Arabidopsis thaliana: one gene and its partners. The protein of the gene in region 1 purifies or fractionates together with the protein of each later gene. This does not show direct contact. Each region holds a gene or a part of one and is shown in the gene's direction. Other genes may lie near its edges. The genes, in order: PUR4, AT3G18860, UBA 2 and UBA1.

Evidence for each region.
Region 2: the proteins of PUR4 (region 1) and AT3G18860 fractionate together in Arabidopsis thaliana (co-fractionation; one large-scale study listed by BioGRID). This does not show direct contact.
Region 3: the proteins of PUR4 (region 1) and UBA 2 fractionate together in Arabidopsis thaliana (co-fractionation; one large-scale study listed by BioGRID). This does not show direct contact.
Region 4: the proteins of PUR4 (region 1) and UBA1 fractionate together in Arabidopsis thaliana (co-fractionation; one large-scale study listed by BioGRID). This does not show direct contact.

Annotation. Positions count from the first base shown.
Region 1 is NC_003070.9:27,922,225-27,929,846, reverse strand, and holds PUR4 (purine biosynthesis 4), read left to right. Parts: upstream 1-1,884; 5' UTR 1,885-2,082; coding exon 2,083-2,124; intron 2,125-2,382; coding exon 2,383-2,803; intron 2,804-2,886; coding exon 2,887-3,455; intron 3,456-3,554; coding exon 3,555-5,931; intron 5,932-6,027; coding exon 6,028-6,842; 3' UTR 6,843-7,122; downstream 7,123-7,622. Other genes in the region: AT1G74280 (alpha/beta-Hydrolases superfamily protein), read right to left, coding at 1-89; AT1G74270 (Ribosomal protein L35Ae family protein), read left to right, coding at 381-412, 642-677, 1,068-1,296, 1,391-1,432; AT1G74250 (DNAJ heat shock N-terminal domain-containing protein), read right to left, coding at 7,433-7,490, 7,600-7,622. UniProt on the Arabidopsis thaliana protein: Essential to the male gametophyte development. Phosphoribosylformylglycinamidine synthase involved in the purines biosynthetic pathway.
Region 2 is NC_003074.8:6,500,007-6,507,667, forward strand, and holds the start of AT3G18860 (transducin family protein / WD-40 repeat family protein), read left to right. Parts: upstream 1-1,661; 5' UTR 1,662-1,767; coding exon 1,768-1,833; intron 1,834-2,271; coding exon 2,272-2,603; intron 2,604-2,919; coding exon 2,920-3,023; intron 3,024-3,240; coding exon 3,241-3,309; intron 3,310-3,519; coding exon 3,520-3,580; intron 3,581-3,794; coding exon 3,795-3,934; intron 3,935-4,355; coding exon 4,356-4,545; intron 4,546-4,719; coding exon 4,720-4,781; intron 4,782-4,957; coding exon 4,958-5,046; intron 5,047-5,523; coding exon 5,524-5,596; intron 5,597-5,676; coding exon 5,677-5,736; intron 5,737-5,832; coding exon 5,833-5,979; intron 5,980-6,066; coding exon 6,067-6,105; intron 6,106-6,208; coding exon 6,209-6,246; intron 6,247-6,331; coding exon 6,332-6,418; intron 6,419-6,522; coding exon 6,523-6,688; intron 6,689-7,009; coding exon 7,010-7,087; intron 7,088-7,196; coding exon 7,197-7,333; intron 7,334-7,592; coding exon 7,593-7,661. Other genes in the region: LPAT5 (lysophosphatidyl acyltransferase 5), read right to left, coding at 70-200, 281-834.
Region 3 is NC_003076.8:1,968,106-1,975,035, forward strand, and holds UBA 2 (ubiquitin activating enzyme 2), read left to right. Parts: upstream 1-1,854; 5' UTR 1,855-1,973; intron 1,974-2,124; 5' UTR 2,125-2,133; coding exon 2,134-2,455; intron 2,456-2,796; coding exon 2,797-3,014; intron 3,015-3,207; coding exon 3,208-4,002; intron 4,003-4,211; coding exon 4,212-5,080; intron 5,081-5,161; coding exon 5,162-5,594; intron 5,595-5,680; coding exon 5,681-6,277; 3' UTR 6,278-6,422; downstream 6,423-6,930. Other genes in the region: AT5G06450 (Polynucleotidyl transferase, ribonuclease H-like superfamily protein), read right to left, coding at 1-384; AT5G06470 (Glutaredoxin family protein), read right to left, coding at 6,554-6,930. UniProt on the Arabidopsis thaliana protein: Activates ubiquitin by first adenylating its C-terminal glycine residue with ATP, and thereafter linking this residue to the side chain of a cysteine residue in E1, yielding a ubiquitin-E1 thioester and free AMP.
Region 4 is NC_003071.7:12,851,827-12,859,472, reverse strand, and holds UBA1 (ubiquitin-activating enzyme 1), read left to right. Parts: upstream 1-1,745; 5' UTR 1,746-1,962; intron 1,963-2,087; 5' UTR 2,088-2,103; coding exon 2,104-2,434; intron 2,435-2,796; coding exon 2,797-3,014; intron 3,015-3,311; coding exon 3,312-4,106; intron 4,107-4,518; coding exon 4,519-5,387; intron 5,388-5,712; coding exon 5,713-6,145; intron 6,146-6,244; coding exon 6,245-6,841; 3' UTR 6,842-7,144; downstream 7,145-7,646. Other genes in the region: AT2G30105 (LRR/ubiquitin-like domain protein), read right to left, coding at 7,565-7,646. UniProt on the Arabidopsis thaliana protein: Activates ubiquitin by first adenylating its C-terminal glycine residue with ATP, and thereafter linking this residue to the side chain of a cysteine residue in E1, yielding a ubiquitin-E1 thioester and free AMP.

The DNA of each region.
Region 1 (7,622 bases):
CCAACAATGACAATCACAACAGAAGGAAAAAGAAATTTTTTTCGAGGCCATGGCTTTAATGAGCTGTTCCTTGATGAATCTCTCGTCATTTAAAAGAATGGGAAGTTGATCGGAGAGGCACGGAGGTCAACGGCGACGATTCTTGAAAAGAGAGCCAACTGTTCAAGAACTACAACATAGAGATCGTTTTTTTGTTGTTGTTTTGAGATAAAAATAGAGAAGCCCATTTTTATATGTTATTCATTATAGTAATGGCCCAAGATGCTTAATATACTAATGCCCCAATAGTGTTAAGGCCCATAAGCCCATATTAGGGCTTCTTCTTCGTTTTTCTCCCTCGAGTAGCAGCAGCAGCCTTTGGATATTCGGCGGAATCGAAAATGGTCAAGGGACGCCAAGGAGAACGAGTCAGGTCTTTCTTCTTCTATTTCTCTTTTCGTTCTTCTTCAAGTTTGATCTATATCACCAAGATGGTTTTCTATCGGTGTATCATTTGAGATTTGCTCTGTTTTCCTCACTTCTGAAACTGTTTTGCTACTATTGTTATTGTCTAGATTTGAGCTGATTCTTCATGGTTTAGTAATCTTGTAATCATCGATAATGCGAAAGTCTGATTCTTTTTATGTTATCTAATTTTGCAGACTCTACGTGAGGGGAACCATCCTCGGATACAAAAGGTGACCCATTTCTTTCATCGCTTTCGTTTTCCATTTTACACTGCTTATAGCTTATGATTGGACGCCAATAAGATTCCATGTAATGAACGTTGATTGGTATTTATGTAAGCCAATTTGACAGAAACGAGTCCTATAACCAAGCTTCTCGTCCACTTATGATCAGATTATGTGTCTGATGCTTTCACTAAATGGGAACATTTTGACTCTTGATTAGTTAGTTGTCTACATTTCTTAGGACACTTATCTGGCATTTTATTTTTGAGCTGCTTTGTATTTCTATTAATCAACACTGTTGTTAACTGAGTTCTGCTTTAATAACCTTGTCATGCTGAAAACCGAGACCTTACTGTTTGATACTTCCTCTGGTCTGACATTTACTATGGTGTGCAGGTCGAAGTCCAACCAGTATCCAAACACGTCCCTCGTCCAGATCGAAGGAGTTAACACTCAGGAGGAGGTAAACTGGTACAAGGGAAAGAGGATGGCTTACATCTACAAGGCTAAGACAAAGAAGAACGGTAGCCACTACCGCTGTATCTGGGGAAAGGTTACCAGGCCTCACGGTAACAGCGGTGTTGTCCGTGCCAAATTCACATCCAACCTTCCTCCCAAGTCCATGGTACTTAAACAGATTCTATAATCATCTTCTCTGTTTAGAAGTGAAATCTTTTGCTTGGGTTTTTAACAAGATATTATTCCTTATGTTCTTGCAGGGAAGCAGAGTGAGAGTCTTCATGTATCCGAGTAACATATGAAGCAATGCAAAAATGGCTTAAACTTATAATTTAGCCGCCTTGGTTTTGTTCACTAGTTTGTTATTTTGTATTTTGATATTGAAAGCATTTCCTTTCTTTGTTTGAAGTGTTTGGAGATTCTCTAAATTGACTTTGATCATGGATCCGGTTTTTCATCCCAAATTAGACTCCCTTTTCCCCTTTTATAACGAATTAAAACAGACGAATGGTAACATATTTTCTCAAATCACTATTACAACTTTATAATTAGTTCTTAGAAACACTTAAATTCTCAGAATCATCCATGGCATATGTTAATTGTTGAAGTCTGAAAATCGAAAATCACTCAAAATAATCAAAAAACAAGAGCTGATTGAAGTTGTAAACTGAAACATTTGAAACTCGATTTGTGATATCGGCCCTTAGGCCCATTAGACCTTTATTGGGCTTACCTAGGCTCAACTTTAGAATTTTCAATCAGAATTTTGTTCTCATGTAAACAAAAAAGTACCAACAAACCTAAGATTCGTTGAGAAGAGAGACCAGACAAGAACTCTGTGTCGACTGCCGTACTCTCGGAGTCGGAGCTTCGGTCCCGTTAAGACAGTAACAGAGAAAAACCCTAAACCCTCTTTTCACTTTGTTTGCTGTTCCGGTCATATCTCGCGACGATGAATACCTCCCAAGCAACTCGTGCGGCTCTGTTTCTAAACGTAAATATTCTCTTACTGCTATTCTTATCAGTGGTCCAAGTTTTGTGTCGATTGATCGATGAACTTATTTGATTCCGTTCTGTTGCTTAATCTTTTCATAGATTGATTATAAGGATGATTTCGAAAAGTACTTTATATTGAGAATTTGAAGTTCTGTTGATGTTGAATGCAGTAACTTAGGACTCTGATTTACTGGAAACTTCTTGGTATTTGGCATCCATAATGTTTTCGTTTTAACAAGTTAGTGTTTTTTTGCAGGGTTCCAATAGACAAGCGATGCTTTTGCAGCGGAGCTCAATGAGTCAATTGTGGGGTTCTGTTAGAATGAGAACTTCACGGCTGTCTCTGAATCGAACAAAAGCTGTTAGCTTGAGATGTTCTGCTCAACCTAATAAACCTAAAGCAGCTGTTTCTACTGGTTCTTTTGTTACTGCTGATGAGCTACCAAGCTTGGTTGAGAAACCTGCTGCTGAGGTTATCCATTTTTATCGCGTGCCTTTGATTCAAGAAAGCGCGAACGCGGAACTCCTCAAGGCTGTTCAAACCAAAATCAGCAACCAGATTGTCAGTTTGACTACAGAACAGTCTTTCAATATTGGGCTTGAATCCAAGTTAAAAGATGAAAAACTTTCTGTTCTAAAGTGGATTCTTCAAGAAACATATGAGCCAGAGAATTTAGGTACTGTTATTTGCATGCTATATCATGATATGGTTACAATATTGTTAGGCCTCTCTGTTATTGACGATTGAGTTAAATTTCAGGTACGGATAGTTTTCTTGAGAGGAAGAAGCAAGAAGGACTCCATGCTGTTATTGTTGAAGTTGGCCCCAGATTGTCTTTCACAACAGCATGGTCCACCAATGCGGTTTCGATATGTAGAGCATGTGGGTTAGACGAGGTGACTCGCTTGGAAAGGTCAAGGAGGTACCTTTTGTTCAGCAAGGAGCCACTTTTGGAAAATCAGATAAAAGAATTTGCTGCAATGGTTCATGATAGAATGACCGAGTGCGTGTACACTCAAAAGCTGGTTTCATTCGAGACGAATGTGGTTCCAGAAGAAGTGAAGTATGTGCCTGTGATGGAGAAGGGTCGGAAGGCGCTGGAAGAAATCAACCAGGAGATGGGTTTAGCCTTTGATGAGCAAGATTTGCAGTATTATACTAGACTTTTCAGAGAGGACATTAAGCGTGATCCTACCAATGTGGAGCTATTTGATATCGCTCAATCCAACAGCGAGCACAGTCGACACTGGTTCTTTGCTGGGAACATGGTTATTGATGGAAAGCCAATGGATAAGTCTCTTATGCAGATTGTAAAGAGCACTTGGGAGGTAACAATAAAGGACTTAAGTCAAAATTTCTCTCCTTTCCTATAGTTTGAAATGTGTGTTCGTATAATTCACTCTTATCTTCTGTGTTGAATTTTGCAGGCAAATCGAAATAATTCTGTCATTGGGTTTAAGGATAACTCTAGTGCTATTAGAGGCTTTCTGGTGAACCAGCTACGGCCTCTACTTCCTGGTTCTGTGTGCTTACTTGATGTCAGTGCACGTGATCTCGACATATTGTTCACTGCTGAAACCCATAATTTCCCTTGTGCTGTGGCTCCTTATCCTGGTGCTGAGACAGGTGCTGGAGGTCGAATCAGAGATACACATGCAACAGGAAGAGGTTCTTTTGTGGTTGCATCCACTTCTGGTTACTGTGTTGGTAACCTTAACATGGAGGGATCTTATGCTCCATGGGAAGACTCGTCTTTCCAATACCCATCGAACCTAGCATCACCTCTACAGATACTCATCGACGCTAGTAATGGTGCATCTGACTATGGTAACAAATTTGGAGAGCCCATGATTCAGGGATATACTAGGACTTTTGGAATGAGACTGCCAAGTGGGGATAGACGAGAATGGTTGAAGCCGATTATGTTCAGTGCAGGGATTGGACAGATTGATCATACTCATATAACTAAAGGGGAGCCAGAGGTTGGGATGCTTGTTGTTAAGATTGGTGGACCTGCTTACCGCATTGGCATGGGAGGAGGAGCAGCTTCGAGTATGGTTAGTGGCCAGAATGATGCAGAGCTTGATTTCAATGCTGTGCAACGTGGAGATGCTGAAATGTCTCAGAAGTTGTACCGTGTTGTTCGTGCTTGTATTGAGATGGGTGAGAAGAATCCTATTATCAGCATTCATGATCAAGGTGCTGGTGGAAACTGCAATGTTGTCAAGGAAATTATTTATCCACAGGGTGCAGAGATTGACATAAGAGCGGTTGTTGTGGGTGATCATACTATGTCGGTGTTGGAGATATGGGGAGCAGAATATCAAGAGCAAGATGCGATTTTGGTGAAAGCTGAGAGCCGGGAGATTTTGCAATCAATCTGTAAGAGGGAAAGGCTTTCGATGGCTGTGATTGGAACAATTAATGGGGGTGGTCGCTGTACTTTAATTGACAGCACAGCTGCAGCGAAGTGCAGTAAAGAAGGGCTACCTCCACCTCCACCTGCTGTGGATCTTGAACTCGAGAAGGTTCTTGGTGATATGCCTAAGAAGACGTTTAAGTTCAACCGCATTGCTTATGCACGGGAGCCACTTGATATTGCTCCTGGAATTACATTGATGGATGCTTTGAAAAGAGTTCTCCGATTACCATCAGTTTCTTCAAAGCGGTTCTTGACAACCAAAGTGGATAGATGTGTGACAGGTCTTGTTGCTCAGCAACAAACAGTTGGGCCATTGCAGATCACGCTTGCTGATGTTGCAGTTATTGCACAGACATTCACAGATCTAACAGGTGGTGCATGTGCCATTGGTGAGCAACCGATCAAAGGCTTGCTTGATCCAAAAGCCATGGCTAGGCTAGCTGTTGGAGAGGCTTTGACAAATCTGGTTTGGGCAAAGGTCACTGCACTTTCTGATGTTAAAGCTAGTGGTAACTGGATGTATGCTGCCAAGCTTGAAGGAGAAGGATCAGCAATGTATGATGCTGCGATTGCTCTATCTGAAGCGATGATTGAACTTGGCATTGCAATTGATGGTGGAAAAGACAGTCTTTCAATGGCAGCTCATGCGGACGGTGAGGTTGTTAAAGCTCCAGGAAATCTTGTGATTAGTGCCTATGTTACCTGTCCAGACATAACAAAGACAGTGACTCCGGATCTAAAGCTCGGAGGTGATGATGGTATTCTCTTGCATGTTGATTTGGCAAAGGGAAAGAGGAGATTGGGTGGATCTGCACTGGCTCAGGTTTTTGGTCAGATAGGAAATGACTGTCCTGATCTTGATGATGTTCCATATCTGAAAAACGTTTTCGATGGCGTTCAAGCTCTCATTGCAGAAAACTTGGTATCTGCTGGACACGACATCAGTGATGGTGGACTGGTAGTAACAGCTTTGGAAATGGCTTTTGCTGGAAACAAAGGTATAAATCTCGACTTGGCTTCAAATGGAATTAGCCTTTTTGAGACTTTGTTTTCTGAAGAACTTGGTCTCGTGCTTGAGATTAGTAAGACAAACCTGGACGCTGTGATGGAAAAACTCCGTGCTTTCGATGTTACTGCTGAGATCATTGGAAATGTCACTGATTCGCCTCTGATAGAGGTAAAAGTGGATGGGATTACTCATTTGAGTGAGAAAACTTCATTCCTCAGAGACATGTGGGAAGACACCAGTTTCCAGTTGGAAAAGCTGCAACGATTGGCATCTTGTGTAGAGATGGAGAAAGAAGGTTTGAAGTTTAGGCATGAGCCTAATTGGAAACTCTCATTTATTCCATCCTCGACCAACAATAATTATATGTCTCAGGGTATGATCGCTCTCTATGAGGTTTTTTTTTATCTTTAATTATTTATATAGCGTATATTTTCTAATGAAAATGTTTGTTTATTGTATATGCTCTCAGATGTTAAGCCAAAAGTAGCAGTGATCCGAGAAGAAGGCAGCAATGGAGACAGAGAAATGTCAGCTGCATTTTACGCTGCCGGTTTTGAACCTTGGGACGTGACAGTGTCTGATCTTCTAGCTGGAGACATCACCCTTGATCAGTTCCGCGGTATTGTGTTTGTGGGAGGGTTCAGTTATGCGGATGTTCTCGACTCAGCCAAAGGATGGGCTGCTTCAATAAGGTTCAACGAGCCTGTGTTGAGTCAATTTCAGGAGTTCTACAAAAGACCAGACACGTTCAGTCTTGGAATCTGCAATGGATGTCAGTTAATGGCTCTGTTAGGATGGGTTCCAGGTCCTCAAGTTGGCGGGTCACTTGACACCTCGCAGCCGAGGTTTGTTCACAACGAATCAGGAAGGTTTGAGTGCAGGTTCACAAGCGTGACCATAAAGGACTCGCCATCGATAATGCTGAAAGGAATGGAGGGAAGTACTTTAGGGGTTTGGGCGGCGCACGGAGAAGGACGGGCTTATTTCCCGGACGAAGGAGTCTTGGACCATATGCTTCACTCAGATTTGGCACCATTGAGATACTGTGATGATGATGGGAACGTGACTGAAGCGTACCCTTTTAACCTCAATGGTTCACCGTTGGGAATAGCGGCTATATGTTCACCTGATGGGAGACATTTGGCGATGATGCCTCATCCTGAACGTTGTTTCTTGATGTGGCAGTTTCCATGGTACCCAACAAGCTGGGACGTTGAGAAAGCTGGCCCGAGCCCGTGGTTGAAGATGTTCCAGAATGCAAGGGACTGGTTAGAGTCGTGTTAAGCGTGTTTTTTTAGTATAATTTTTATCTGCATCATTTTGTTGTGCATTTGGTGTTTTGCAGAGTCTTTGAAAGTTGTCGACAAATCATGTGCTTTTTAGTGAGACTTGATGTGTGCTTTTTGTCCTTCACGTTGTATTCAAACTCTGGAAATTAAGCATGAGTTACTCTCTTCGATCAATCAAGCAATCTTGTGCCATTGGGTACTAAGTTGGGTTTATCTAACTCTGATATCTTGTATCCTACTTAGCTAATCAATGGAAAGTCTTCTCCCGTAAGTGAATCTCTTGAGAACAATGAGGCGCACATGGGAGGTTTTGAGATGCCAAACATGGATTTGACAAAGAGAAAAGGAACAAGTAATAGATTTCTTCTCTGCAAAATCATTGCTTCAAACATACAAGGAGTGGTATACAAACTTTGGTCATCAATTGGTTTGCAATACAATAATGTCAAAAACGCAGCTTATTTGCCCTCTATCCCACTTGTTCATTGTGTCCATGTATAAATTTAATCAAAGAATGCAAATCTCCAGCCAACCTTTGGTTCTTCTCTGCATAATCCTTAGATGCACTTTAAAATGAGCAATGGATCATCGGGATTTCACTGTCGCATGACCACTATCAGCCAAGTGCTTGTGTAGTTTTGTTCTGCCCAGCATGAAAAGTCACAATATTAAGAAACTACAGGTGAATGATACAAAGCACACTGCTGGAGCATAAGAGAAATGACGAAAGAACAAATATCTAATGAACCAACCTCGACTCAAACTCCTCTCCACA
Region 2 (7,661 bases), on another chromosome or scaffold:
TTTTCAAGAAGAGAGGAAAGGCCTAGGATCTTAAATCACTGATGCAAACCAGCAAAAGTATAGACAAACCTGCGTCAAGTGAGCAACTCAGTTCTTGCAAGCAGGAGACGAAACCTTTTGTCCTGGGAAGCAGCACGTTGTTCAGTATCGGAAGGCCATTTTCAGCAGCAAATTTCTTACTCCTTTGGCATTTAGCCTCTCTGCATAAAGTTCCATTGTAAAATGCTTTTAACTAAAAGGTCTCTAAACAAGAATGATACTCCAAAGAAAGGAAACGTACGTGTAATCTGTGCCCTCGGGGAAAAGAGCAAGCCATAAAGCGTCTCGGGGATCCTTAAAACTCGAAACTATCTGTCTCAAGTTTGCTTCATCGACTTCCCATCTCCTCTCAACTGGAATAAACTCAAAGAGGTGAAACGCCCAACCAAAGAGAGGTAATTTCATCAAACTACTCTTAAGCACATATTTGATATTCCCAATCTGGCCTTTACGCAGTGCAAGATCCCAGAAGTACATCCAATCAACTTCTGTTCGGTGGTTTGCAATGAGCAATACTCGATCCTCGCAAGGAACCTTATCACCAGAGAAGATAACTTTGGTTTTGTTAATCTTCTCAAAGAGGAAAGGCCACAAGGCGAGCCACGAGCCAAAGAAGAAGGAAACACATTTACGGCTATAGCGAATGCTGAAAAGCCTCAACACTACAGCTGATAAGAACCCCCAGAATATCAACATCATAAAAGCTGTTGAAACTAACACCATCAGACATATTATACCTCTTAACACTCTAATCAGAGACAACTTATCAGAATTTGGTACACTCTTTTTTTCCATTTTATACACCTTAAGATAATCTAATTAACCTCCCCCTTCTAGTCTTCTATTCTTGATGCAATGAATCACAAAGTTCATGAATTTCCTGTTACCAGAATCACCATCAGAGCTCATATGGTTGAACACAACATACTTCACCTGCAGGTAATGATCAAAGACACATCAAAATAAGAATCGATAGCAAAGTACTTTATCAACAGAAAACGAAAACAATGTCTTGTAATTTAATAGACTTATTCAAATTCATACAATCTGATTAATGTTGGATTAAAATAAAGAAGAAGCTTGTATTCTCAAACACATATATACATTGTCTAAAACAAAAACTCTCACCAAGATAATCAAGATTCAAGCACAAATCTCAGTGAGGATTAAAAAAGCCAATCAAGAACACAGCATTTGTAAAATTTATTATTGGAAAAAAGAAATTCAGACAGAGAAAGGAACCAGATAGAAGAAGACAGCTTACCATGGAACTGAGCTTCCAGGTTTTATTTATAAACAAACAGTGCAGAAGAAGAAGAATTTAATGGCCGAGAAAAATATCATGAAGGACTACGATCGTTTTGTGAAAATAGGCTCAGAGGTTGTTGCTAATTACGGTCTATGCCACTTCTCGTAGAAAGTAGTACTCTTAGGAAGGTGAGGAAATTTAAACCACTGTCCCCTCCTTTTTCGTCATTATTAAATTCGACACGTCATCGTGTTTCATTGTTCCCTTTATTCAGCTTATTATTATTTTCAGTCTATCAATTGGGCCGGGCTTTGAAAGCCCACAAAGGTTATTTATTATACGTTTATCCTTATATAAAAGAAAGGAAATAAGAAATTAGTTTTTCTCCTGCAGAGTGTTTCTCCTTCCTCAAGTCACTTTTTGAGTCGCAGCAATTTGGCGTTTGGTATCTCTCAATCTGCTGCTTCTCCTTCTCAGTCATGGTCATGGATATCGATTTCAACGAGTACAAGCTCAGGTGCGAGCTTCATGGCCACGATGATGATGTAAGATCTCTTTGCTAAATCCACTTCTTCTTTCTACTGTTTTGATTTCTCGTTTTCGTGATCGATTCTACTCTAGATTTTGAAATTAAGTCTTGTATTCAGTAGGGTTCAGCAAAATTCACCCTCGTGATTCCAATTTCACTGTTCCGCTTTTGATCCAGGGTTTTTCAATTCAATGAGCTGATTTGATAGTTAGTGTGAAGCTTTGTTTTGATTAGTTTTATTATTAGGTTGACTTCTCAACGAATTTGTACTCAATTTGAGAATTTTATCTAATAGGGTTTGATGTTTAACCTTGCGTGCCAATGGCATTAATATAGATCAAATTTATACAATTTTTCGGCAGGAGTGTGATTGTCTTTATGCTATTGAGCTTATGCAATTGAATAATAACTGTGATTGTGACAATGGAAACTCATGGTTTATCAACATCTTCAGGTTCGTGGGATTTGTGTGTGTAATGATGAGAATATAGCTACTTCATCAAGAGATAGGACCATAAGGGTTTGGTCACTGGATCCATCTGATAAGCGCAAGTATACCTCCGAGAAAATTCTGCTGGGTCATACTAGCTTTGTTGGGCCACTTGCATGGATCCCACCAACTGATGAATACCCTGAAGGAAGACTTGTCTCTGGGAGTATGGATACTTTCGTTTTTGTTTGGAATCTGATGAATGGAGAGAATATTCAGACATTGAAGGGTCATCAGATGCAAGTCACTGGTGTTGCTATTGATAATGAGGACATAGTTTCATCTTCAGTTGATCAGTAAGTCCTCCTGTTCATGTAATTTCCTTAGTATGACATTTACCAACTGTTTAGTCAATAATGCCTCTTACTTAGTATCCAGTGAGTGTACTAGCCTGCGGTTTTCCTTCACTGTTTCCCAGGAATTGTATCACATACAGGATATTATATGAATCTTAACCGTAGTTGTAAAGGTTTTATGAGTGTTAATTGTGTGCATTATTGTCTTGAGTAGCTTACTAGCTTTAGTAATACTGGGGTAAAGAGATCCATCAAATTTTGATTTACCCTCTACTGTTGTGTAATGTAACTTACATTTATTTATTTTTATTTGTAGAACCCTGAAACGATGGAGAAACGGTCAGCTTGTTGAATCTTGGGATGCACACCAGTCGCCTATCCAGGCAGTGATAAGGCTGCCATCTGGTGAGCTCGTTTCAGGTACATGATCCAGCTAAAGCTGTCATTTGATGCATTTGTTTCTGTTTTTTTTGTTGTTTTCTTGCTGCCATGGACTTCCTTATTCGATTGTATTTTCTAGTATGATCGTTTTGCAAGCTTAGGTTAAATGATTTTTTGGTTGTTCTTAAGATGCATATACTTCTTTTTGATTAGGCTTGACGGCATATTTTTCACTGATGTTACTTGTACTTACCAGGTTCAAGTGACGCCAGTCTCAAACTCTGGAAGGGTAAAACGAGTCTGCAAACTCTTTCAGGGCATACAGGTGAATTCATTACTCTCTCCCAAATTTCGTATCTCTCAAAATTTCCTTGTCAATATGAGAAACTGCATACCGGAAATAAGATAGAATCTGATACTAGCTGCTCTAAGATATCTTATCTTGTGAAGTGCCAAGACACTGGCCTGTTGTCAGGGATTCCTTGTTATTGGAGAAACTATTGTCTTATACAAGTATTTTTATTTTACAATGCAGATACTGTTAGAGGGTTAGCTGTGATGCCTGATTTAGGATTTCTTTCCGCATCACATGATGGGTAAGTTATTTGCTTCCAACAAACTCATGCCTTACTGAATTTCATTGTCCAAGTGAATCCTTATGTGCTTAACTCGAATTGTGTTGTCTTTTGCATGACCTGGATAAGTTTTGTGATCCGGGGATAATATGATACTTGAGTTTTCTCTTATTTATCCTTTCATGTGTTTGTACACAGCAAAGGTTGTAAATCACTATTTTATTTTTTCTAACAGTTCAATCAGGTTATGGGCACTAAGTGGCGAAGTTCTTCTTGAGATGGTTGGCCACACCTCCCTTGTTTATTCAGTTGACGCACATTCGTCTGGCCTTATTGTTAGTGCCAGTGAAGATCGTCATGCCAAGATATGGAAAGGTGATTACGGGTTCCTTAGTTTCTATTGATGCCTTGGCTGTTCTTCACTTATGTTTCACAGTTTTCTAGGTTATATGAGGTCTGAGATGTTTAAATTTGGAAAATATGTCTCCACTTTTCAGTATGTTGCTCGCTCTTAAAGTTTTCTTTCAATAATAAAGATGTCTATATATCATATTTTTGTGGAAGACGTGTTATAAATTTGATCACTTAGTTGCAACCTATGGAAAGTTAGTTGTTAGTATGTCAGACAGTAATCAACTGATCAGAAACCAGTTTGAAAGGCTCACGAAGATTGGTCTGCAATAGCTGTTATAATAGATATCACTTGCGAAAAGAGACTGACATTTTGGTTTAAAGCATGTTTAGATCTTATAGGTTGATCTATTGTTCTTACTTTGTTATTTTTGTTTTGGTACAGATGGAGTCTGCGTTCAGAGTTTGGAACACCCAGGCTGTATCTGGGATGCCAAGTTTTTGGAAACCGGAGATATTGTGACAGCATGTTCAGATGGAGTGGTTCGTGTTTGGACAGTACGTCATGATGCGATTGCAGATCAGATGGAGATTGATGCCTATGATTCCCAAATTTCTCAATACAAACTAAGCAGGTAATCTGATCATTTATGGTGATCTCTATTCTTATCGACTAAATTCTATGTCCATTGAGTTTTTTTTCTTCACGTGGCAATGCATATTATATGACCTGCTGACGGGGTATGCTTTCTTGTCTTTTATGCTCAAAATATAACTGCAAAGTATATGCGTGCTGTTCTTTATCTCAGGAAAAAGGTTGGCGGATTGAAACTTGACGAGCTGCCAGGGCTTGATTCTTTGACGTCACCAGGTACCATTTATTATCCAATTAATTGTAATATTAATGTTTCGTACGGGAGAAAGGCTAAATTTTAAAGAATCTCAAGAGAACACAAAGATAATTGATAGTGTCTGGCGATCAAATTTGAATAGATTAAGCTGGCATTCTTGTAACATCATCCTCTCTTATTTGATATATGTTCTCAGGTACCAGTGATGGCCAGACAAAAGTAGTAAGGGAAGGAGACAATGGTGTTGCTTATGCATGGAATATGAAAGAACAGAGATGGGACAAAGTAAGTAAACAGAATGAACTTTTATCTTTTTTTTTATTTGTCGACTGCATTTCGTTTTTGCTCTTGACCTGAATGCGGCTTTGCTATATATTAGATCGCATGCATGAATATACAGATAACTTCCCTTTGAAACAATTACCTTGAGGAATATTTGTTACTTTGTTCATCGAAAAGTTGCCATCGGATTAGGGCTTGTAATTTCCACGAATGAGCATGCTGTCTGGTCATAAATTGATAGCATGTACTGCCAGCAATTTGCCTTTTGCGAGGATTTTATTTAATGTGGCAACCCATACCTGAGAGGAAAATTTCATCTGATTTTGACTTCTGATCCTCCTTCGAAGTAGCAATCTCTTAAGTAGATAGCAAGTAAATGAGATAGATTTCTCTCTAACATTTGTTTGCATATGAAGGATTAAACATTGGCTTTTTAGTGTGGTAGAATGTTTTGAGTTCTCACTGCATGCCTTTTTTCAGATTGGTGAGGTTGTTGATGGCCCAGATGGTGTGGCTGATCGTCCAATTCACGAGGGAGTTCAATATGATTTTGGTTAGATTTTGACCTATTATGGAAACTTGAGAATCTCTCAAAATCGAAGAACAAAATTCTTAGCCCTTTTTTTTCTCTAGTTTTCGATGTTGACATTGGTGATGGGGAACCTATCCGGAAGCTACCTTACAATCGATCAGGTACCTGAATGCTCTTACTGGCCTTGTTTTATTACAAGTGCAACCACAAGAAACTGCTTCAGTTTTTGATACTTCAAATCTTTTCTTGTTTGGCAGACAATCCTTATGATGCAGCTGACAAGTGGCTTCTAAAAGAGAATCTCCCCTTTGCATATCGGCAGCAAATTGTTGAATTTATATTACAAAATTCTGGGCAGAAAGACTTCAACTTTAATCCATCTTTTCGTGATCCCTTCACCGGCGGTATAAAATTTTTGAAAATAATTGGTCTGAAATTTTGTTTTTAGGATTTTATTTTAATTTTGTGTTTTGCCTTTTATTGTGTAACAGCAAATGCTTATGTGCCTGGGCAAGCATCTCGTACAGCTGGTATGAATACACTGTCTGTGTCATTTTCACATAATACTTTCAATTTCTTCATTTCTTGTATTGTTCTTTTGCTGCCTCATGCTCTGACTCTTTTCTGTTGCAGCAACTCCGGCAAAACCTTTATACAAGCACATTCCAAAAGTACGCTGGTTCTCTTTCTTTATTAGTTATTACTGTTTAATGTTTCTAGCTTTTTGATCCTTTTTTCTTCCATAACTCTCTCCAGAGAGGTGTGCTAGTTTTCGATGCTGCTCAATATGACGGGATTCTGAAAAAGATGACAGAGTTCAATACTACTTTACGATCTGACGCAGTAAGCTTTCAGTATCAACTTTAGTCACACAAAATGATTAAATGGTTATTTTACTTATACTATTGTTGGTATTTATGTTTCTACAATTTTTCCATCTTTTGAAGGTAAACAATGACAAGTCCCTGACCGAACTCGAAGTATCCAGAGTAGGCGCAATCGTTAATATACTGAAGGACACATCACACTACCACTCTACCAATTTTGCTGACATGGATATTGCTTTGCTTTTGAAAGTGCTACAAGCATGGCCACCGGCAATGATGTTTCCTGGTTGGTCTTCTCTTGTCAATCAATTAGTCAAACAGAACTGTTTATTACATATTGAACTTTTGATGGTAGCCATATGTTTCTCAATATTATGAAGCCACAGCAAAGTCAGTTTTTTCCGAGATGCTTGTTAAACAATCTAAAATGAGATATGTTTTGGTTTATTTGGATGTTATTCTTGGTCTCCTTGTGTTTCTTTTGATGTTTCTTGCAGGCCATAAAGCATTTTGCCTTTCGCTGGCCACTTTATTTTTGTCTTTTGTTGGATATAGCCTTATGTTTATCTTGTGTCAAGCTCTTATACCTATGGTTTTGAATATGCAGCTACTGATATAGTAAGGATGCTCGTTTTGCATCATCATGGAGCAAGTCTACTTATCAAGCATGTGGAAAACAACAATGGTAATCATCTAATTCGTGAAGCTATGCTTTCTCAACATTAATGAAAGTACTAGCTAGTAGGTAATGTCCTTTATTAACTGGTATCTCTCTGTTACTATATATCAATCAGACCTGCTTTTGGATTTGATAAAGAAAGTTACAGAAGATTCTGCTCTTCCTGCAAATCTTTTAACGACTGTTCGTGTCCTTGTTAATCTATTCAAGAATTCTTCATTTCATTACTGGCTACAGACGCATCATAGTCAAGTAAGGACTCTTTCATTTCTATGATTTTATACCAGAACTAGGATGTGTGATGATCTCGATGAACCTACTAATTGGTTTAGCTGTGACTTGCAACCTGAGGAGAAATTTTTGGGTTTTATGTCTAATATACATTGCTTTTTTGCGTCTGGGCATATAAATTAAGTTTCTAATTACATTTAAACATAAGATAGTGCCTATACATGTGTGTGTTTATTATAATAATTTGAGAAGTGGTTTTAATTGCTGTGGATCAATGCAGATTCTTGATGCCTTCTCAAACTGTTATTCATCCCCAAATAAGAATCTGCAGTTGGCTTATTCGACGTTG
Region 3 (6,930 bases), on another chromosome or scaffold:
ACCGTGGTTTTCTCTAAGCAAGTCCAGGTCTTCCTCGATCTGCACTCCAACAAAAGTGACAAACTTGGAAGCAAAGAAACGGTACAGATCCTTGAGATTGTCATGAAAAGGTTTAGGAAGTCGAAGGAAGAGACATAAGTTTCTAGTGCTCAGCTTCACCGATGACAGACTCCACCCTGACGTTTTGGTTTTGGTTTCAGTTTCAGGAAACCCCACATCCCAGTACACATCGAAGATCACCGCTCGGTTTCCATTCAAGATAGAATCTTCTCTTATAAGTGAAAGGTATGGAGAGATATCTGTTGATGATCCAACATCAATGGTCTTAGTCTGAACATAGGAGCCATCAGTCATCTTGAACTTTGGCCCATCAAAGGAGGCCATGTGATGAAAAAACACTAAAGAATATTCACAAATCAAATTAGATTCAACGATAACTGACAAAGTTGTAGCTAAACTTATCTCAATACTAATAGAAGTGGAAAGTAAGATAGTGAATCCAATCATCACTCATATAACTTGAGCACCAATAAGGTTTCCTCTTTTTTATAAAAAACTACAAGTATTCATGAGTTGGAAACTTGGAGAAATTGGGTGAAGAAAGGACCACACATTGAATAAACAATGATCTAGCATCGAATTGATCAAAGTAGAGGTAAACAAACTTTTTTTTTAGTTTTGGCTACAAATACCATTGATCACTCCCCCTAGTTCTAGGTTTCATGACCTTTCTGTGCATCAAAAGATAACAAGAAAGAAGCGAAACTTTTTGTTCTATATCTCTTAGACTAATTAACTAATGGAGAAACAAAAACATTTGATTCTATCTTAGTTCTTGTAACCCAAAACGATCGATCCGAGAGATAAAATCCCCTAACTATCATCTGAAATTGGAATCATACTAGTCAAATTCAACTTAAAAGAGACATTAACTGATGAGAAGTTAAGAGGAGGACGAACCTTGAAATTTCGCGTCCGGTTAGGGATCGTAGTAAGCGAGGAACAGTTCTTCTGGTTTCTGCTGGAAGAGAGAAGACTAAATCCCCGCGAGGGAAGAAGAAATCACGAAATGGAGACACATTTCCTCAGCTTGCTTAACCAACCATACGTTAGTAATTTAAGCTGACCAATCCGGTTCAACCGAAATTCTATGTCTTTTGAATGTTTTTCTTGACTTTTTTTTTTAAGGGGTCCTTGTCAATCTTTGTTACCAACGCCAATTCACACAAGAAATATAATGTGAGACATTTTTCATCGTTATCATACAACCGTGAATATACTTGTCAAGCAATGTTGGTCAAATTCTCAAGATACAAGAGTTTTTTTTCACGCTAATGTAGTCACACTACAAATCCATTAATATTATTTTTTTCGTTTAGAAATCACACATAAAACATAGATTGTGTTTGTTGGTATAAGTGATAGAGAGAGCATCCCCATATCATTTTCCAAACACAAATGCTCACACCAAAATGGTTGAGTTCATAAGGTACATTTCCACACATTATGCTTAAGTTTCACTCTTATTACACTTCTTTGAAATGTCTATTAATCTTTAGGAATTAGCAAGTACGACACACATTCAAATATCCAACAACTACTCTCTCTTTATCAATCAACAAATAAAAAACAAAACTTGATTGATTAACAATTTCAAAGTTTAAATTCAATCACACCTAACCTGAATTAAAATTTGGTCTATTGCATACTCAAATCCGGTTCAATGTTACAAGACCAAAACCAGATATTTATCTTAAACTGGTCCACTTGAAAAAACGAAAAAACTTACCACACAACACAGGCTGATTCTGAATTCAGCACAAATAGTTTCAAAGCCCAACAATCATCGCCCAATTTTTGTTATATACCGCCGCTTCTTTCTACACAACCTACAAAGCCAAAAGCTTAGTATACTCTCTCTTTCTACTTTAACAACAAATTCGCCGCTTATCGCCTCCGATCTTCTCTCAAAGGTACGGTTTCGTTTTCATTTCCTCCGATTCTCGTTTCTTCTTCAGATTCCTTCATCGATTAGCTCTAGGAACCTTCTCATCGGAATTCATTTATTGTCTTTGTTTGTTATTCGAAGCTTCTTCTGTTTATTTGATACATATTCTCTTTCAGTTACTCTATATGGAACCATTCGTTGTTAAGGAGAACATCATCGCATCTGCTTCTTCGCCGATGAAGAAGCGACGGATCGATCACACTGAGTCAGCTGATGGTTCTGCGATTAACGCTTCTAACTCCAGTAGCATCGGTTTGAACAACAGCATCGGTGGTAACGATACGGTGATGAGCATGGCGGAGTTTGGTAACGACAACTCCAACAATCAGGAGATCGATGAAGATCTTCATAGCAGACAGCTCGCCGTTTACGGCCGTGAGACTATGAGGAAGCTTTTCGCTTCCAACGTTCTCATCTCTGGGATGCAGGGCCTTGGTGTTGAGATTGGTAACGATTTTTGTACTTTTCGTTGTTAATTTCTGCTTGCATGTTATTCCTGTGCTTGTCCTGCTGGTTGTTAAAGAGCTTCAAGCTTGAGCAAACGTATTTCGTGATTAAGCTGTTTTGATGTTGTGTGTACATTTGGGCACTTGAAGTTGAGATTGTAAAATTGGTATATTAACTTGTTAATCCTGATTTTCTAATGAGTTAGTGACACATTATATAATGGAAGGATTATTCAATATTCACTATAGATTTGTAATGAACTAATGACTGGTATAGCTCTTTATTCTCTTCGTTATTTCCTTCTTTCTGATGGATGATTTTTTTTTTTTTTTCTTATTTAGCCAAGAATATTATTCTAGCTGGTGTGAAGTCAGTGACCCTTCACGATGAAAATGTGGTTGAGCTATGGGACCTATCTAGTAACTTTGTTTTCACGGAGGAGGACATTGGTAAGAATAGAGCACTTGCTTCTGTTCACAAGTTGCAAGAACTCAACAATGCTGTGGCTGTCTCAACTTTGACTGGGAAGTTAACCAAAGAGCAGCTTTCTGATTTCCAGGTATCCAAACCCTTCCTTTATTTGGTTTGTCTTTGCTTCCTTGTTCTAGTTGTTAATAATACTATCATGATTCATGGACATAATTATCTGTAAAAGAGATTAGAGGTGACTGAACGTGGATGAAAACGTTTCTACTAAAAGTACAGAATGTTTGGCTTTAGTGGTTGATTTCTTTTTTTTTTCCTTGATGCAGGTTGTGGTATTTGTGGATATCTCTTTTGAGAAAGCGACAGAGATTGATGATTATTGTCACAGTCATCAGCCTCCTATTGCATTCATCAAGGCTGATGTTAGGGGGCTGTTTGGGTCTTTGTTTTGTGATTTTGGACCTCATTTTACTGTTCTTGATGTTGATGGGGAGGAACCTCACTCTGGCATCATCGCTTCTGTTAGCAATGAAAATCCTGGATTTGTTTCGTGTGTCGATGATGAGAGGCTCGAGTTTGAAGATGGAAATTTGGTTGTTTTCTCTGAAGTTGAGGGAATGACAGAGCTAAATGATGGAAAACCAAGGAAGATAAAAAATGTCAAGCCATTTTCATTTACCCTGGAGGAAGACACCTCTAGCTATGGGCAATATATGAAGGGTGGCATTGTGACTCAGGTTAAACAACCAAAGGTGTTGAACTTTAAACCTCTTAGAGAAGCACTTAAAGATCCAGGCGACTTTCTTCTAAGTGACTTTTCAAAGTTTGACCGACCACCTCTTCTCCACTTAGCATTCCAAGCACTTGATAGGTTTTCGTCTCAAGCAGGCCGATTTCCGTTTGCTGGTTCAGAAGAAGATGCTCAGAAACTAGTGGAAATTGCAGTTGACATTAATGAGGGTTTGGGTGATGCAAGGTTGGAAGATGTCAACTCTAAACTGTTGCGGCATTTGGCCTTTGGATCCAGGGCTGTTCTGAATCCTATGGCTGCAATGTTTGGTGGCATTGTTGGGCAGGAGGTTGTCAAGGCATGCTCTGGGAAATTCCATCCTATCTTTCAGGTAAAGACTTTTCTGTTTGGTTTTTCAGGGGCTCATCTGTTCGGTCTTTGTATGTTAAACTTCTACTTGTTGAGCAATGCTGTTCATCTATGTTATACAGGCATTTACTCTACATGAGTCCTATACCAGGACTAAAGTTTCTCTTCCCTTGTTAGTAGTATTTCTTTTATACTTGGTAATGTGGTAATTAGTTTGCATTATTTGTGCAGTTCTTTTACTTTGATTCGGTGGAGTCACTCCCCAAGGAACCTCTTGATGCATCAGAGTTTAGACCACAAAATAGCCGTTACGATGCACAGATCTCTGTATTTGGGTCTACTCTTCAGAAGAAACTCGAGGATGCCAGAGTTTTTGTTGTAGGGGCTGGTGCTCTTGGATGCGAGTTCTTAAAGAACTTGGCTTTGATGGGTGTGTCATGTGGCACCCAAGGGAAGCTAACTGTCACCGATGATGATGTAATTGAGAAGAGCAACCTGAGTCGTCAGTTTCTTTTTCGAGATTGGAACATAGGACAGGCTAAATCCACAGTTGCCGCAACAGCAGCAGCTGGAATAAATTCTCGCCTCAACATTGATGCTCTGCAAAATCGTGTTGGACCTGAGACCGAGAATGTCTTTGACGACAGCTTCTGGGAGAATTTGACAGTTGTGGTGAACGCTTTGGACAATGTCACTGCAAGGCTTTATGTTGATTCAAGGTGTGTGTATTTCCAGAAGCCTCTCCTCGAGTCAGGAACCCTAGGTGCAAAGTGCAACACACAGATGGTTATCCCTCACCTCACTGAGAACTATGGTGCCTCGAGAGACCCACCAGAGAAACAGGCTCCAATGTGCACCGTGCACTCATTTCCTCACAACATTGATCATTGCTTAACATGGGCTCGCTCTGAATTTGAGGGTTTGCTTGAGAAAACACCAGCTGAAGTTAATGCATACCTCTCAGATCCTGTTGAATACATGAAAGCGATGAGAACTGCTGGTGATGCCCAAGCAAGGGATACTTTGGGACGTGTTGTTGAGTGCCTCGAGAAAGAAAAGTGCAATTCATTCCAGGATTGCATAACCTGGGCTCGTCTGAGGTACTCTCTGTTGGCCCACACCCTTCATTGAGACTATATGTAAAATGATTTTCTTCTCTTTACATAATTGCTTGCTTACAGGTTTGAGGACTACTTCGCCAACCGTGTGAAGCAGTTATGTTACACATTTCCTGAGGATGCTGCTACTAGTACAGGAGCTCCGTTCTGGTCTGCCCCAAAGAGATTTCCTCGCCCACTCCAATTCTCCTCAACCGACCTGAGCCATATCAACTTTGTCATGGCTGCATCTATCTTGCGAGCAGAGACATTCGGAATCCCTACTCCTGAGTGGGCTAAAACCCGAGCAGGACTAGCCGAGGCTGTGGAAAGAGTAATTGTCCCCGACTTTGAGCCGAAGAAAGATGCAACTATTGTGACAGATGAGAAGGCTACAACTTTGTCTACAGCTTCAGTCGATGATGCAGCAGTAATCGATGAACTAAACGCAAAACTAGTGCGGTGCAGGATGAGCTTGCAGCCAGAGTTCAGGATGAAGGCAATCCAGTTTGAAAAGGTGAATCATAAATGTATCCAAGTATCTTTCAGATTCTGTATTTGAATTATAAGAGCAACAAACTAACATTATTTTGCTGTTCTTAGGACGATGATACCAACTACCACATGGATATGATCGCTGGGCTAGCCAACATGAGAGCAAGGAACTACAGTGTTCCCGAGGTGGACAAGCTTAAAGCCAAGTTCATAGCCGGAAGAATCATACCCGCGATTGCGACATCAACTGCAATGGCAACAGGTTTTGTTTGCCTTGAGATGTACAAGGTCTTAGACGGGTCACACAAAGTAGAAGACTACAGAAACACATTTGCTAACTTAGCACTTCCGCTCTTCTCCATGGCTGAGCCGGTTCCACCTAAAGTGGTGAAGCACCAAGACCAAAGCTGGACTGTTTGGGACCGGTGGGTGATGAGGGGAAACCCGACCCTAAGGGAGTTGCTAGACTGGCTAAAAGAGAAAGGGCTAAACGCATACAGCATATCTTGCGGAAGCAGTTTACTGTACAACAGTATGTTCTCAAGGCATAAAGAGAGGATGAACAGAAGAGTGGTGGATCTTGCAAGAGACGTGGCTGGGGTTGAATTGCCTGCTTATAGACGTCACGTGGATGTTGTAGTCGCTTGTGAAGATGATAATGATGCTGACGTTGATATCCCTCTCGTATCAGTCTACTTCGCCTGATTAGAGAATTTTAATTAACGTCCCCAACGAGAGAAGCTTTTAATAATTACTGTATTCTTGGGATATGAAGTTGAGTTTCAGAGATAGAGAGAGTTTTGATGTATGAGAATAGAGTTAACTTCTTAAAATTTAGAACTAAATTTTCAAATTTGGTGTTTTTCACTTATTCATTACAAACATAATACGATTAAACAATCCTAATACAAAACGTTTTTCTCACACATCATTTACTACAAAGTTAAAAATCAGATAGTTATTATTAGCTTATAACAGCAACTACGTACAAAGAGGACATTTCACAAGTCCATTCTCATTACATTCTCTGCATCTTGTCCACATATTATCATTACTACTCTCTTCATCGTGATGCTCTGCAAGCAATCTTGTGCTTCCATTGCAGCTAGAACATATCAAAAACCTTTCGTTCTCGCAAGACTCGCAAGGTGAATCAACCTGTGAGATTCCTTGTAGTAGCTTCTTCAGCTTCCCGTTCTCGTTCAATGCCACAACTTCTTCTGCTCCACCAATGTACCTACCTCTAATGAACAGCCTCGGAGAGGTAACTTTCCCACCAAGCAACCTCCACATCTCTTCTCTAAACTCTGAATCCATGGAAACGTCTCTCTCTCTATACATCACCTGGTGATTCTCCA
Region 4 (7,646 bases), on another chromosome or scaffold:
TCTTAGCACGTTCTAAGTGTTCGTACTCTCCTCTTACGAGTTACAAGATTGAAGAGGTTTCCATCCTATAAAGACGATCAAGAATATATAATAAGAAATGCTTACTTTAATCAAGTCAATCTTCTCTTGATGTATCACAGGTCTTCACCTACCTTTTCGTAGTCACGAAGCCATTTTTCTTCTTCCTTAGCTTGCTTCCAGGTTTCAACTGCATCTATTATGCCTTTCCTTCTTAAAGCTTCAGATTTTGCTTCCTCATATTAGCATCCAATGCAGCACCAATATCAGATAGAGCACGATCACCTGACAAGATAACTTATCTTTTAAGCATATCTAAATTGCTGTTTTTTTCTTACAAATAGAAGAGTTCTTCACTTACCCTCATTATCAGTTAGCTCAATACTGCCTGTCGAGCTCGACAAAATGCCTTTAACTCGTATTGCTTCTGAAGTACATTCACCTTCAGGGTTTCCCCAGTTTTAGTTTTCTTTGCCACTTTGTCAGCCTTGTCTTTATTAGCAATCCTCTTCGTTTTGGGAGCACCAGTGGATTCCTTTCTTTTACCAGCATCATTAGTACTCGTCTTGGGAAGATATTTTGCACAACTCCATTTTTGTTTTTTCTTAGGGTGATGAATGACTTGGCCTGAGGTGAGAAATTGAGAGTGTAGAGACTTTTGCCTTTGTAGTTATACTCTGCCAAACTCCATCCTTTTAGCCAATCATCCACAAACTCTATGGGTAAATCATCATGATACCTTAAGTAAGCTAGTTTAGAAGAAGTGCTCACAACTTCTTGACCCATTTGAAACTGATGAACATAGTAATTGACACTGCCCCACTTTATAAGAGCACCATTGCAATTAAAATATCCAAGATGAACATTTTTAGTTGGATAAAAGAAGACCCACGACTTGTTGCTTTCTCCCTCTAGAAATTGAAAGTTGATGAAATCTCACTCCCATGGACTGCGATCAAATATTTCAAGATCGTCTATCCATGGAATTGCAACATCAACTCCAAAATCTACACTTTTAACCAAACTAATCATAAGTTAAATTTCAATTTACAATCGTTTATTAATATAGTGATTAAGTAAGTTATCAAGTATTAATTTATAGAGTTTTATTTTTGTATAAACTAACCACGAGTTAAGGAGGTGTTATTGGTTTATGATTTCAAAAGAGTTTTAGTGACTTAAAGTATCATGTAGAATCTGTTGTTATTTAATCAAAAAAATTTAAAAGTATGTTAAAAGTTTGTGTTATTCATTAAAGATTTGTAAAAAGTAATCTAAAAATCTTCATAAATTTTAGATTATTGAATTCATACTTTTATAAAGTCAGTAAATTTTTTGTGTTATTCTATTAAAACAAAAAAATCTCTGATTGTTTATGATTTAAATTATTATGTTATTGGTTCATGACTTTCTACATTTTCTTTCACAAAATAAAGTCATAGAAAGTCATGAATTTTTTTTCAAAAGATTGTTTTGAGAAACTTTAGAAGAAAATGTATTTAATTATAATATTCATAGCTGGAAATTGATCTAATATTTAATTATAATATTAAAGTTTCCAGTTATCCAAAAGAAGATGTGAGTTTTTTTGAACTTGGTAATTAAAAAAAGAAAGCAATATTTCAGATTTAATACAGATTCATAAGAAGGATCCATAAGAAATTAACTAAACCGGATCTGGTCTTGAAATAGTGACGGACGCGTGTCCCCCGGTCAGAGAGTTGCCGTCACAATCACGCGGAGAAAGAGCGACAAATCAAACCTTAACCGTTAAAACGTCATCGTTTCATATCCCCCCACAACCGAACCCCTTTCGTTCGCCCGTCTCTCTTAAATAAATCTTAGAGATTTCTGCAAAATTCGTCACTTCAATTTCAATTTTCAGATCTCAAAAACTTTTTCTCTTTTCCGATTCCAATCTTCTCTCGTCTGCTTTCCTCAAAGGTACGTTTTATCTTCCTTCTCATAGCTTCCGAAGAATCAATCTAGGGTTAGGTATTTCAATTCTGATCGGATTTTCTCTCTTCAGTGTTCTCTAATCTAATGGGAATTTCACATGTTTTCTCCAGGTTTTTTCATCACTTTATGCTTCACAAGCGAGCTAGTGAAGCTAACGATAAGAACGATAATACCATCATCGGTTCCGATTTAGCATCATCTAAGAAACGCCGTATCGATTTCACTGAATCTTCGTCTGATAAGTCTTCTTCGATTTTAGCTTCTGGTAGTAGCAGGGGTTTTCACGGCGATAGCGTCGTTCAGCAAATCGACATGGCTTTTGGTAATTCGAACCGTCAGGAGATTGATGAAGATCTGCACAGTCGCCAGCTCGCCGTCTATGGTCGTGAGACTATGAGGCGTCTCTTTGCTTCCAATGTTCTCATCTCGGGGATGCACGGTCTTGGTGCCGAGATTGGTATGTACTTCATTGGTTTTATGTTGAGATTGTGGTCTCCCTCGTCTCTTTGGTTTTTGAAACTTGTAGAAACACTGTTTTCGTATGCGTCGTTATTAGAAGCTGTGAATAATTGTGTCATCTTCAAAGATTTTACTCTTTAGTTGTTTTGTTTTGGTTCTCCTGATCTGTGATTGCTGGTATTCTTCAACATCCAAATCTTAGTAGCTTCCTGATGTTCCTTAGTTGTTCGATATCTTTGTTATTGGGGTTTCGTTATATGCCAGTTTTCTAAGATGCATGGTAAATGTGAACTGTTAATGATACTTTTTAGTCGATTGCTTTCTCATTCAGTTTTTGTTTTATTTGTTGATTTTCTTCAGCCAAGAATCTTATACTTGCTGGTGTGAAGTCTGTGACCTTGCATGATGAAAGAGTTGTAGAGCTATGGGACTTATCAAGCAACTTTGTTTTCTCGGAGGATGATGTTGGCAAGAATAGAGCAGATGCTTCTGTTCAGAAGTTACAGGATCTTAACAATGCTGTGGTTGTCTCTAGCTTGACCAAAAGCTTAAACAAAGAGGATCTTTCTGGCTTCCAGGTTTGTAGACAACTCATTTGTCTTGTTATTGGTTCTATATGGTCTGAGTCTTTTGTGTACTGTATCGTTCTGTAGATTACTTGTGAGTTTATGATAACACTGTAACTGAATGAGTAACATAAGAGTGGGTTGTTCTATTTTCGTTGCATATAAGAGATGGGTTTTGTCTCATTTAGTGTTAGGCTATTTCTAGTGTTTATTGATATTGATATGGAAGATTGGTGTACACTTTTCTCATTGGTGTGTGTTTCTTGTTGGCGGGTTTTACGCTGATACATCTACTTTTGTGCCAAACAGGTTGTTGTATTCTCTGACATAAGCATGGAAAGAGCAATCGAATTTGATGACTATTGTCACAGCCATCAGCCTCCTATCGCTTTTGTCAAGGCTGATGTCAGGGGTCTTTTCGGCTCTGTCTTTTGTGATTTTGGGCCTGAATTTGCGGTTCTTGATGTTGATGGAGAGGAACCCCATACAGGCATCATTGCGTCTATCTCTAATGAGAACCAGGCATTTATTTCCTGTGTCGACGATGAGAGGCTTGAGTTTGAAGATGGTGACCTAGTTGTTTTCTCAGAAGTTGAGGGTATGACAGAATTGAATGATGGGAAACCAAGGAAGATAAAAAGTACACGGCCATATTCATTCACCCTTGATGAGGACACTACTAACTATGGAACATATGTGAAGGGTGGTATTGTCACTCAAGTGAAACAGCCAAAGTTACTGAATTTCAAGCCATTGAGGGAAGCGCTTAAGGATCCAGGGGATTTTCTATTTAGTGATTTCTCTAAGTTTGATCGGCCTCCACTCCTTCACTTAGCATTCCAGGCACTTGATCATTTTAAAGCTGAAGCTGGCAGATTTCCTGTTGCTGGCTCAGAAGAGGACGCTCAGAAGCTTATATCGATTGCCACAGCCATCAATACCGGGCAGGGTGATTTAAAGGTGGAGAATGTTGATCAGAAGCTTCTAAGACACTTTTCCTTTGGAGCCAAGGCTGTCCTGAATCCTATGGCTGCAATGTTTGGCGGTATTGTTGGACAGGAGGTTGTTAAAGCTTGCTCTGGAAAATTTCATCCTCTCTTCCAGGTAAAATTTCTTTTCTATAGACTTGTGAGAACACATATTTAGTCTTTGCATGCCAAGTTCTCTGTTCGAGTTAAGAATTTTAAACACTAGAATTTAAACTCAAAGCTCTCTTTTGTTAAAACCGAATCAAAGTAACAAGACAGAAGTTGAAATACACCCAAGAGTAATTAATTCCTAAGCTCTCTTCATCCCTATGTAATATATTAGAAGCTAAATGAAAGCTGTTTAGATAAAGTAAATAAAGAAATAGAAATTCTAATGAAAATAAGGAACATTATCTAATACGCATCTCTCCTTTTTCCTAATGTTTTATGTTGTGGGAAGTTACAGCTGTTTCCTCTTTTTTTGATACATTTATATTGTTTAAAGTTTCGTATTGGGATCTGATGTTGTGACTCTTTTTGTTTATCAGTTTTTCTACTTTGATTCAGTGGAGTCACTCCCCTCTGAACCTGTGGACTCGAGTGACTTTGCACCAAGAAACAGCCGGTATGATGCCCAAATATCTGTATTTGGGGCCAAGTTCCAGAAGAAACTTGAAGATGCTAAAGTTTTCACAGTAGGGTCTGGTGCTCTTGGCTGTGAGTTCTTGAAAAATTTGGCTCTGATGGGGGTTTCTTGTGGAAGCCAAGGGAAGCTGACAGTGACAGATGATGATATCATTGAGAAGAGTAACCTCAGTCGTCAATTTCTGTTCCGTGACTGGAACATTGGACAGGCTAAATCCACAGTTGCTGCTTCGGCTGCTGCTGTTATAAATCCTCGCTTCAACATTGAGGCCCTGCAAAACCGTGTTGGCGCGGAGACTGAGAATGTATTTGACGATGCCTTCTGGGAGAACTTAACTGTTGTCGTCAATGCACTGGATAATGTTAATGCGAGGCTCTATGTTGATTCGAGGTGCTTGTATTTCCAGAAGCCTCTCCTTGAGTCTGGAACTCTTGGTACAAAGTGCAACACACAGTCGGTTATCCCACATCTAACTGAAAATTACGGTGCCTCAAGGGACCCACCAGAGAAACAGGCCCCCATGTGTACAGTGCATTCCTTCCCGCATAACATTGATCACTGTTTAACTTGGGCTCGCTCTGAGTTTGAGGGTCTGCTGGAGAAGACTCCCGCTGAAGTGAATGCATATCTTTCTAGCCCAGTTGAGTACACTAACTCAATGATGAGTGCTGGTGATGCTCAGGCGAGGGACACATTGGAGAGGATTGTTGAGTGCCTTGAAAAGGAGAAGTGTGAGACCTTCCAAGACTGCTTAACCTGGGCACGACTGAGGTAATATCACTCTTAATAGTTAGTTAGATAGTCTAGTCGTAATATGGAATGAAATATAGTCCGGTGTCTTACTCATGTCCTGCTACAGTCTCCTATTTTATGCTTTTGTCATGTGCTTCATCCCAGGATTGCTTAATTATTCGTTGAAAACATCATTACGAAACTAAAAAATAAAATAAAAAACTAGGAACAGTGTTATAAGGTAACTTCATTTCACAACAGGTAGCTACAACCAATATGTAGAAGTGGGAATAAATCGTTTCCTTCCTCTGTGGAGTCTGTGATTTTTGCAATAATTTATGTGTTTGTTATGTTATGTGACTAGGTTTGAGGATTACTTTGTGAACCGTGTCAAGCAATTGATATACACATTTCCTGAAGATGCTGCGACTAGTACCGGAGCTCCATTCTGGTCTGCTCCAAAAAGATTCCCTCGTCCACTCCAGTACTCGTCGTCCGACCCAAGTCTCCTTAACTTTATCACAGCGACTGCTATTTTACGAGCAGAGACATTTGGGATCCCGATACCTGAGTGGACTAAGAACCCAAAGGAAGCAGCAGAAGCTGTTGACAGAGTGATAGTCCCAGACTTTGAGCCAAGGCAAGATGCAAAGATTGTGACTGATGAGAAAGCTACCACTTTAACCACTGCTTCGGTGGACGACGCTGCAGTCATCGACGATCTCATTGCTAAGATCGACCAGTGTAGGCATAACTTGTCGCCAGACTTCAGGATGAAACCTATTCAGTTCGAAAAGGTATATTACCCTCCAATGTTATCGTCTTCACTGATATTGACTTGTCTTGTTTACAATTTTTAACTGAGTGTTGTCATTTTGAATTTGATGTGTTTGTAGGATGATGATACAAACTATCACATGGATGTGATAGCAGGACTAGCCAACATGAGGGCGAGAAATTACAGCATCCCTGAAGTGGACAAGCTGAAAGCAAAGTTCATAGCAGGGAGAATCATCCCAGCCATTGCGACTTCAACAGCCATGGCTACTGGGCTGGTCTGCCTCGAGCTGTACAAGGTCCTTGATGGAGGACATAAAGTGGAAGCTTACAGAAACACATTTGCCAACCTGGCACTTCCACTATTCTCCATGGCTGAACCACTTCCACCAAAGGTGGTGAAGCACCGTGACATGGCTTGGACAGTTTGGGACAGATGGGTTCTCAAGGGAAACCCAACTCTTCGTGAGGTGTTGCAGTGGCTGGAGGACAAAGGGCTTAGCGCATACAGCATCTCTTGTGGAAGCTGTCTTCTGTTCAACAGTATGTTCACAAGGCACAAGGAGAGGATGGACAAGAAGGTTGTGGATCTCGCTCGGGATGTTGCGAAAGTCGAGTTACCGCCTTATCGCAACCATCTTGATGTAGTGGTGGCTTGTGAGGATGAAGATGACAATGACGTCGATATTCCTCTCGTCTCTATCTACTTCAGGTGAAAAGTTTCGAGAGAATGAAGAAAGATGAAACTCTTGAGAGCAAATTTGTGTGTTTTGTCTCTGCATCTGCCCTACGTTATTATCTTTTGGATGCTTGTGGGTGAGATAACTGATTTTTACTTGAGGGGGATAGAGACTCATTTTATCTCTCTCGTTCTATTTTAGTCTTTCTTTCTATGTACAATTGCTGAATGTGTGGTTTACACACCCGTTACCTTCTAAACATGTTCTATCAAACAAATCTTCGAGTTTTTCGGTTTTTTCCATGTCTTCTTGCAGGTGGTGTTTCGCGATAAGAATCCGAAAGATATAATCTACCTTAAATAATATCCACTCTGTGAATCTATTTACAGAGAACAAATTGAAGCAAAGAACTAAAGATATAATCTAGGGTCAAGTCTCGAGCACCACCTTCTCTTAACCCCAACCCAAGATTCTAGACTCAAAAGCTGTTTGCCTTTACTTCCTTTTTACCGGTTATACTGACTGACTCGGCTATAGAATTGATGAGCTTTTTTAACAATAGGTATCGTAGTTTTCGTTTATTCGGTTTCATTGCATAAATTTTGGATTCAATTTGAGAGTGGTTCAATTTATTTGGTACACTACAATTCAAATTGGAGTAAGCAAACAATATATAGGCATGAAGGAGAAAGATTTTTTCACTGAAAGTGCCACAAATATATTAAGAGTACTGACGATTCGAGACTCGACTTGGCTTGATCACCAAGATTTATCAGCGCCTTCGTCGAATTGGCCAGATCCCACAACACGAAAATCAAGCTGCTTTTGATGCTTGGTACGT